Linked DNA regions of Ovis aries. The protein of the gene in region 2 binds, or shares a complex with, the protein of the main gene of each other region. Links are inferred from orthologs where the notes say so. Each region holds a gene or a part of one and is shown on either strand. Other genes may lie near its edges.

What was found. The genes of interacting proteins can lie anywhere in the genome.
Region 1: GTF2E2 (region 2) and POLR2H share a complex: the UniProt entries of both Homo sapiens proteins name them as parts of the TBP-based Pol II pre-initiation complex. The link is inferred for Ovis aries from reciprocal best matches to the Homo sapiens genes GTF2E2 and POLR2H.

What each region holds. Positions count from the first base shown.
Region 1 is NC_056054.1:203,612,719-203,616,464, reverse strand, and holds the start of POLR2H (DNA-directed RNA polymerases I, II, and III subunit RPABC3), read left to right. Parts: upstream 1-1,495; 5' UTR 1,496-1,629; coding exon 1,630-1,702; intron 1,703-2,661; coding exon 2,662-2,745; intron 2,746-2,825; coding exon 2,826-2,919; intron 2,920-3,461; coding exon 3,462-3,545; intron 3,546-3,746. UniProt on the Homo sapiens protein: DNA-dependent RNA polymerase catalyzes the transcription of DNA into RNA using the four ribonucleoside triphosphates as substrates.
Region 2 is NC_056079.1:25,926,777-25,930,522, forward strand, and holds the start of GTF2E2 (transcription initiation factor IIE subunit beta), read right to left. Parts: upstream 2,666-3,746; 5' UTR 2,435-2,665; intron 1-2,434. UniProt on the Homo sapiens protein: Recruits TFIIH to the initiation complex and stimulates the RNA polymerase II C-terminal domain kinase and DNA-dependent ATPase activities of TFIIH. Both TFIIH and TFIIE are required for promoter clearance by RNA polymerase.

The DNA.
Region 1 (3,746 bases), on a different chromosome or scaffold from region 2:
GGCTGGACAGGCCGGGGCTCGGTAGGGCCTGGGGCGGGGGCTGCCGAGCCGTCTAAATCAGATTCGGGCCCAATCCCTCAGCGGCGGTCCCCTCTCTTGCTTCACCGGAGGGGCCAACGGCTGACTGGCCAGGAAAGGTCCCTGTGCTCTGCTGGGGGGTGAAAAACAAAGCTAGGGGAGAACTCGGAGGGGGTCGCTAGGCCCAGAAACGGAGGTTGCTTGGAATTAGGACCCTCGGTCTCTCTCATCCCCTTCCTTTCTCCTTCCCTTCTTTGCGGGTCCCCCAGGAGCACCCCCAGGGAGGTGCACTTTGAGCCACCTGGCCTTCGGCTAGTGCGGGGGGTTGGGGTGGAGATGGGGAGGGAACGGGAATGGGTGAGGCCAGAGGGAAGGGAGGTCTAGGTGCCTGGGAGGCGGGCGTGGTGGGGACAGAGGTCGCTTCTCCCTGGCAGGGCCCAAAGAGAAACCGGAGTAGGTGCTGACGTCTAGCAGCCATGGGGGAACACGGCCTGCTGGGGCTTTGTGTTCTGTATGAGGGTCCGGAGGACAGAGCAGAGGGGGTGAGCACTAGTGTATGAGCAGCGTCAGGGAGAGTGTCAGGAGAGGCCAGTGCCCAGGAAACAGGCAGTGTGCAGGAGGAGGCAGCGCCGGGGTGAAGGGGCGCGCGGGAGGTCGCAGGGGGCTCCCGGGTAAGGGAGCAGTGCCCAGGAGGGGGCCGAAGTGAGAGCTGGCACCCTAGAGGAAGGGGCAATGTAAAGAAAGAGGTGGCATCTGTAGGATAGGGTAGTGCCAGGATGAAGAAGCCCGTAGGAGAGCTTGTCTAGAAGGAGAGGACCGTGGTAGCGGAAAGGGAAGAACAGAGCTTAAGGGGCAGGGCTCGAGGAGGGCAGTGGGTTTGGGGTTAATGCCCTGCTGAAGGGGTGGTGTGAGAGAAGAGAGCAGGAAAGGGGACGGTGCAGGCTTTCCTCTTCCCCATGGTGACATCATGGCAAATTCCCAAACTGGAGGGACCCGGCTCAGGTGACATCCAGCTGGGACGAGCCGGCCCGGGCCGGCCTGGGTGCCAGCAGGAAGGGCTGGGTTTTGCGCCCAGTCGGGCCAGCGCCCTGGGGGCGGGGTGCTGCTCCCCTCACTCTCTGTGCGGACTTGCCCTCGGCGGGCACGCAGACCGGCACAGTAAGGCTCGGGCCGGGCTTCTCTGGGCCAAGGATCAAGGTCCCTGGCTGGGGCAGGCCGCTTGAGCATTCCAGTCTTCCAGACCCGGCTTCTGAAGAGGGCGCAGTAGAGCCTCGGGAGAGAGCCGGACGCGACGCCACCTCTGTCGGAGGTGGGACCCATCGTGTCGCCGCCGGGGGCGGGGTTTTCTGGACCCGAAACCAGCCCTCAATTCTGAAACCTCTGGGAAACAATCGTTCGGGGCGGAAGTTAAGAAGCCCCGAGAGCTAGGCAGCGGAAGTGGCTGCGGTACAGTTCTTCTATGCGCATGCGTTATTGTATTCCTTTGCCGCTGCCGTTTCAGCGCTGCGTCGTCTTAGCGCGCCTCTTTTCCTCCACGCGAGGGGGTGCGCTACCCCTAGTCGTCGTGGTCAGCGCGCCCAGTCCCTCTGCTACTCTCGTGGCCCCCTCACCATGGCGGGCATCCTTTTTGAGGATATTTTTGATGTAAAAGACATTGACCCGGAAGGCAAAAAGTTTGACCGAGGTAAGCAAGGTTTGGAGGGGCGGTTTCGGGGGAAGGGGCTAATCTCCTCTGGTACCCGCCCCCAGGCTGCTTGTCCACCCACTTTCGCGTGGCCTTTCCCTACCGGTGGGTCCTGGTGTGGGGACCTCTCTCGAGAAATAATTTTATAGATAAGAAAACGGAGACTCCCGAGCTCTCCCTGGTTTCACACAAGCTGTGCTCGCTGCCTGGGTGGCCTTTTCTGCTGGTGCTGGTGGACTCCAGGCATCTTTTATAATCGCTCCCCGCTCTGGACCGGGCGCTGTACTTAACACTTCGCACGCGCTTTGTCTCACTTATTTTCTTCCAGGAGTAGGCGGTGTCTTACCCATTTTGCTCTGAGAGGCTAAGCAGCCCACCCAAGGTTGTACAGTGAATAATCCGACTTCACAACCCGTTCCTCAGAGTCTTTAGCTGTTTGTAAAATCTTCTCAGAGTTTAAGAGTAGACTGCTTGGTATACACCTCTTTATTCTGTCATTTATCAATAATTGTCCTGGGTGTCTCTTCCTTTGCCTGGACACTGATAAGTTCTTCGGGACAAACACCAGTTCTTACACATCTTGATAATCAATCCCCTTAGCACAGCACCTGACACAGGAAGAGGAAACCTTAGGATGAATGAATACCTTGCCCCAAATCAGGTTATTTCTTAATCACTTAGGTTGGCCTAGAACCTGGATATTATTTATTGCCAGAGGATCTTTGATTCTTTTCTGTGGATTCTGTCCACTGGCCACAGGTTGTCTCCCCTTTCCTTCCTGCATGTGTGATTCTGATTGAGCCTGTACTTCTGTGAGAGCAGATGAGAGGCCAGTGGATACAGACTGCATTAGACTGAGTATTCTGTTGCATCCAGGCCCCTGAAGTACCTGTCTGCCCTGCCCTGTAGGGTCTGCCCTGGGCCACAGGCAGTTAACTTCTGCCACTCTTCCCCTCCAGTGTCTCGGCTGCATTGTGAGAGTGAATCTTTCAAGATGGACCTCATCCTTGATGTAAACATTCAGATTTACCCGGTAGACTTGGGTAAGTATTGAACACAAACAGCAGGAGGCTTTATGCCATCTCAGCTGGTCTCCACCCTCTGCTACCGCTGTTGTTTTCAGGTGACAAGTTCCGGTTGGTCATAGCCAGTACCTTATATGAAGATGGTACTCTGGATGATGGTGAATACAACCCCACAGATGATAGGCCTTCCAGGTGAGGGGATGGAAAAGGGAGCACCTGAAATGTGCCTGAGGACTAAGTGGATAGGTGTATAGAAAAACCCTTACTTAATTCATGAAATAAATGATTATCAGCAGACTCTGTTAGCTTAAGAAAAGTGCAGCACTTAAGAATCCAGACATCCAGGTGTTTATCCAAAGCAGTGATTACAGTGTGAGTTGTCACTTTTTGATAGTGGAGGAAATGAGCACTGAATGACCTAGGCTCTGTGGGCCTTGTGTCTTGGGAGGGAGTTTGGTGTGATGGAAAGGCTTTGGACGCCCACTCAGTTCACATCTCAGCTCTACCACTTATTTGTTGGATAACCTTAACCTCCTTCAACCTTAGTTTTTTCTCATCAATAACATTGATGGTCATACCTAGCTCACAGGGTTGCTGTGAGGATTGAATGACATCACGTTTAGAAAGTGCCTGGTGTTATGATGCTGGCGTATAGTTACCAGTTACCATTTTTTTAAAGGGCCTCTTACTTTTGTTAACTGTATTTAAGAATAACTGCCCCTATTGTTCCACAGGGCTGACCAATTTGAGTATGTCATGTATGGGAAAGTGTACAGGATTGAGGGAGACGAAACTTCTACTGAAGCAGCAACACGCCTGTAAGTTCCTTGGTCTTGTGAGAGCCCTTTCCCTTCTCATTTTGTGAGAATTTGGGCTATGCTTTGAAAATCTGGACCATCCTCAGGCTCCCTGGATTTCTTTCTTCAAGCACCTCAGACCTAGCGGGACCCAGAAAGGAACTGTTTTGGGAACAGTTTCAGTCTGAAATGTAGGCTGGTCAGTTTGCCCTCTGTCAGGAT
Region 2 (3,746 bases):
GACTCTCAGACTTTGGAAGCTTTCCGGCATGGGATAGCTCAATAAGTATTTTGTAAATGACTAACAAACAGAAGAACATCTTTAAATTGCCCTAGCCTCTCTGTTAATAAGTTTTACAAGCCTTTATTAAATGTCTTCTGTTTGCGGGGCACTGTACCGCACTGCAGCCTTTGGAAAGTTTTGGAAGATAAATCCTTGCCTGCATGTAAGCAGCTTACATTTGAGAATGTGAAAGCACTCAACAACTTGCTTAAAAAGCAATGAATAAATAAAACGTGACTTAGCACGCTAAAAGTTAAAAATGTAAGCACTGAATATCACTCAGTCATGAAAAAGAATGAAATAGTCTATATGCACAATATGGATGGACCTAGAGATTATCACACTAAGTCTGAAAGAGACAAATAGCATATGATTTCATTACTTGTGGAATCTAAAACATGACATAAAGGAACACATCTACAAAACAAAAACAGACTCACAATTGTAGAGAACAAGCTTGTGGTTGTCAAGCAAGATGGGGAGGAGAGAAGAGAAGGGTTGGGAGCTTGGGATTAGCCAATGCAAACTATTATACAGAATGGATAAACAGGTCCTACTGTACAATACAGGGAACTATGTCCAATATCCTGTGATAAACCATAATGGAAAAGAATATGACAAAGAGTATATGTTTAACTAAGCCACTCTGCTATACAGCAGAAATTAGAAACACTGTAAATTAACTATACTTCAATAAAATTTTATAAAAGCACTGATAAGAAATAAACTTGTCAAACTTTAGTTCAGGAAAGAAGAATCACTGACCCTGGACCTCGAATCTAAGACCTCCCTAAATTCTGACCCCTAACAGTAATATGACCTAGGGAATCCACTAGACTTCTCTAAATCCAATTTCATCATAAGTAAAATGAGGATACTACCAATGCTGTCTACATCTAGCCCAACTGTAAGAATAAAATGAGAACATGTTTGTGAAAGTGATTTTTTAAGTAGTAAAGCTAGACCAACGTGTTATTTCAGAACTATTATTTGGATCTGAAAAGAAATAACCCAGTGTTATACTCAGGTGAGGAAGGCAGAAGACAGTCTTGGGGGAGGGAAAGTGTATTAGAACAAGAAAGGAGAATTCCCCAATGATGTGGTGGGGGAAGGGGGGGGGAACAAGCCTAAAACAACAAACATCTGCTGATTTCACTTTGTAAAGACAGATTATTAACCCAGGCTTTTATAATCACGATTTTAACATAGATAAAATCTATGTTGTTTATTATGTAATTTATTATTAACATAATAAAAGCCTTACAAAGACCTGGATGTTAACAGCATTTGATCCTCACAACTCTATGAGGTATCAGGTATGTATCCTATCACACAGAGTTAAGATCACACAGCTGAAAGTACACAGCCTGGACGCCAGGAGATTGATTCCTAAACCAGGTGCTCCTTATTCCAGACCTAAAACTGGTAAAAGCCTCCAAAACAAAAGCGACCTGCGTGGTATGGGTGAAGTTCAATGGTCCCTAGAACAGAAGGTTTAATGTCTTTCACCATCACATGCTCTAACTTTTCCACCTTTTTCTCATGAGACTACTCCGCATCTGTAGAGTTTCATATGTCCTGTGTAGTAAACAGGACACATCAACTTCCCCGTTTTACATTAAAACACACATCACTGCCACAACTCAGTGAGTTCACGTGTTCCCTCACTGAGAAGCCAAAAGTTCAGTGAAAATCTTTTAACTGCAAAGCCCACATTCCTCCCATATTATCATTTGACTTTATCATTTATCCAGTTTATCATTTGATTTCTTTCAACCTTTCAACTCTTTCTCTCTTGCTTCATTTGCCTGCCTGAGCCTCGCAGGGGCCAATAGTGCTTTGAATAGCCGGCAAGCTGAGAATAAGAGACTGCTTAACCCTGAAAAGACAGCAATGTAGAAGTGGAAGTGAAAAAAGTACCGCAGCGACTTGTTTTGGAAAATGTCTTTAGACTCTGCAGAAAACTATTATAACTCAAGGTTAGGAATCATTCCAAACTAGGTTTCCAAGAGGAAGCTGGAAAAAAAAAAAAAAATCCGTGAAGGAGCGCCTAAATCACAGCCTTTACTTGGCTGGGCGCCGCGGTTCCTCAAACTCCACACACCTGGTCCGTGCGGCTACAGCTAATGTAAGTTTGGGGGCTCAGGAAAGGCACGACCAGCGCTCCAATTCGAATTTCCCCTCTTTCCAACCCAAAACTTTGCTCACTGAACCTCCGGCCTCAGAAACAATGCTCCCGAGAGGCTGTAACCGGGTTAAGCGTTTCGGGCAGGGAACCGCAGCCCCAGCTTCCCGCGGGATGGGAGGCCGCGTGCCCCCGGGAATGGGAGGAGGCCCCGAAGAACAACAGGCTGGGGCTCCGCGCCCCAAACCCGGCGTCCGCAGCTCCTACCTGAGCCAGGAGGGCCGCCCCACGCGCCCCGCCGCCGCCTCCCAGAGCCTCCGCCTGGACCAGCCGCCCACGCCCGCGTGGCTGCCGCTTCGGGCTCGTTGTCAGCGCCTCCGCCGCCCGGCACGCATGCCCAGCGCTGCCCCGCCAGCTCGGGGGTCTTCGCACTGGCGGCTGCTGCTGAAGCGGCGGCTGAGGCGGCGACTCTTCCCCCGGCTCCGCCCGCCACTTCCTGATCGGGTGGCCGGGAGCTCAGTCCCGGTAGGCACCGCGGCGCCTCGGCCGCCAAGAACGCGCATGCGTCATCCCGTGCTCCGCCCAGGTATCGCGGGAGGGAAATCTACCAACTTGGGCGTCCCGATCTCCATGACAACGGAAGGACGATTGGGGGCGGGACGTAATTAGGAGTTGAGTCAGTTCAGTTCAGTCCCTCAGCCGTATCCGACTCTGCGCGACCCCATGGACTGCAGCACGCCAGGCCTCCCTGTCCATCACCAACTCCTGGAGTTGAGTAGCCGCAGCTAAAATGGTGCGACTTTAAATGCTATTCACCATCACCTAAAATTCGGAGAACATTGTTCCAGCTCTCTCCCTACACAACTGAAACAGGAGACGCAGTGAAACTAAATAAATGACTGGCTCGAGACAGCACCGCCAGCAATGGCAAATTCTGAAGCAAAGTCCGGTTTCTGAACTCCGAACCCCCATCCCTGTAAACTCTCTTAGAAAAGGATTTGGGATTCAGCAGCAGCGTAAAGGGGTAAAAATAAAAATAAAGCGGCGAAAAAGACAACTGCCCTTGTCCACAGCCTGCAATGTATTGGACCATGCCAAATTGTGGCGCTGGCCTTGCCTCACTCCTGCAGCCTGAAGCGACCGCATGGCCAGTGCTCTACTATTTTATTGCTGTCCTTTACTTAATGCTGGTTACTCAAGTTACTTGTGTTTTGGTTTTCACATCTGGGAAATGGGAATAATAATTGAACTACCACAATGGGTTACTTTCATTGGATTGTTGTGAAGACTGAATGAGATAATACATAAAATTTTTAATCAAAACTTGGGAATAAAGCCAAAAGATGGTTGTGTGGGTATTTTTTTACGTTTTTATTTTATTTATTTTGGCTATGCTGAGGCCTAATTGTGACAGGCAGGCTCCTGCTCTAGTTGTGGTGCAAGGGGTTAGTTGCCCAGCAGCCTGTGGGATCTTAGTTCCCCTACCAGGGATGGAACCCACGGCCCCCTCATTGGAAGGCAACCAGGGAAGTCCCTGTATGGCTTTTTAAAATTGATTTCATTCTATAGGATTTTGTAA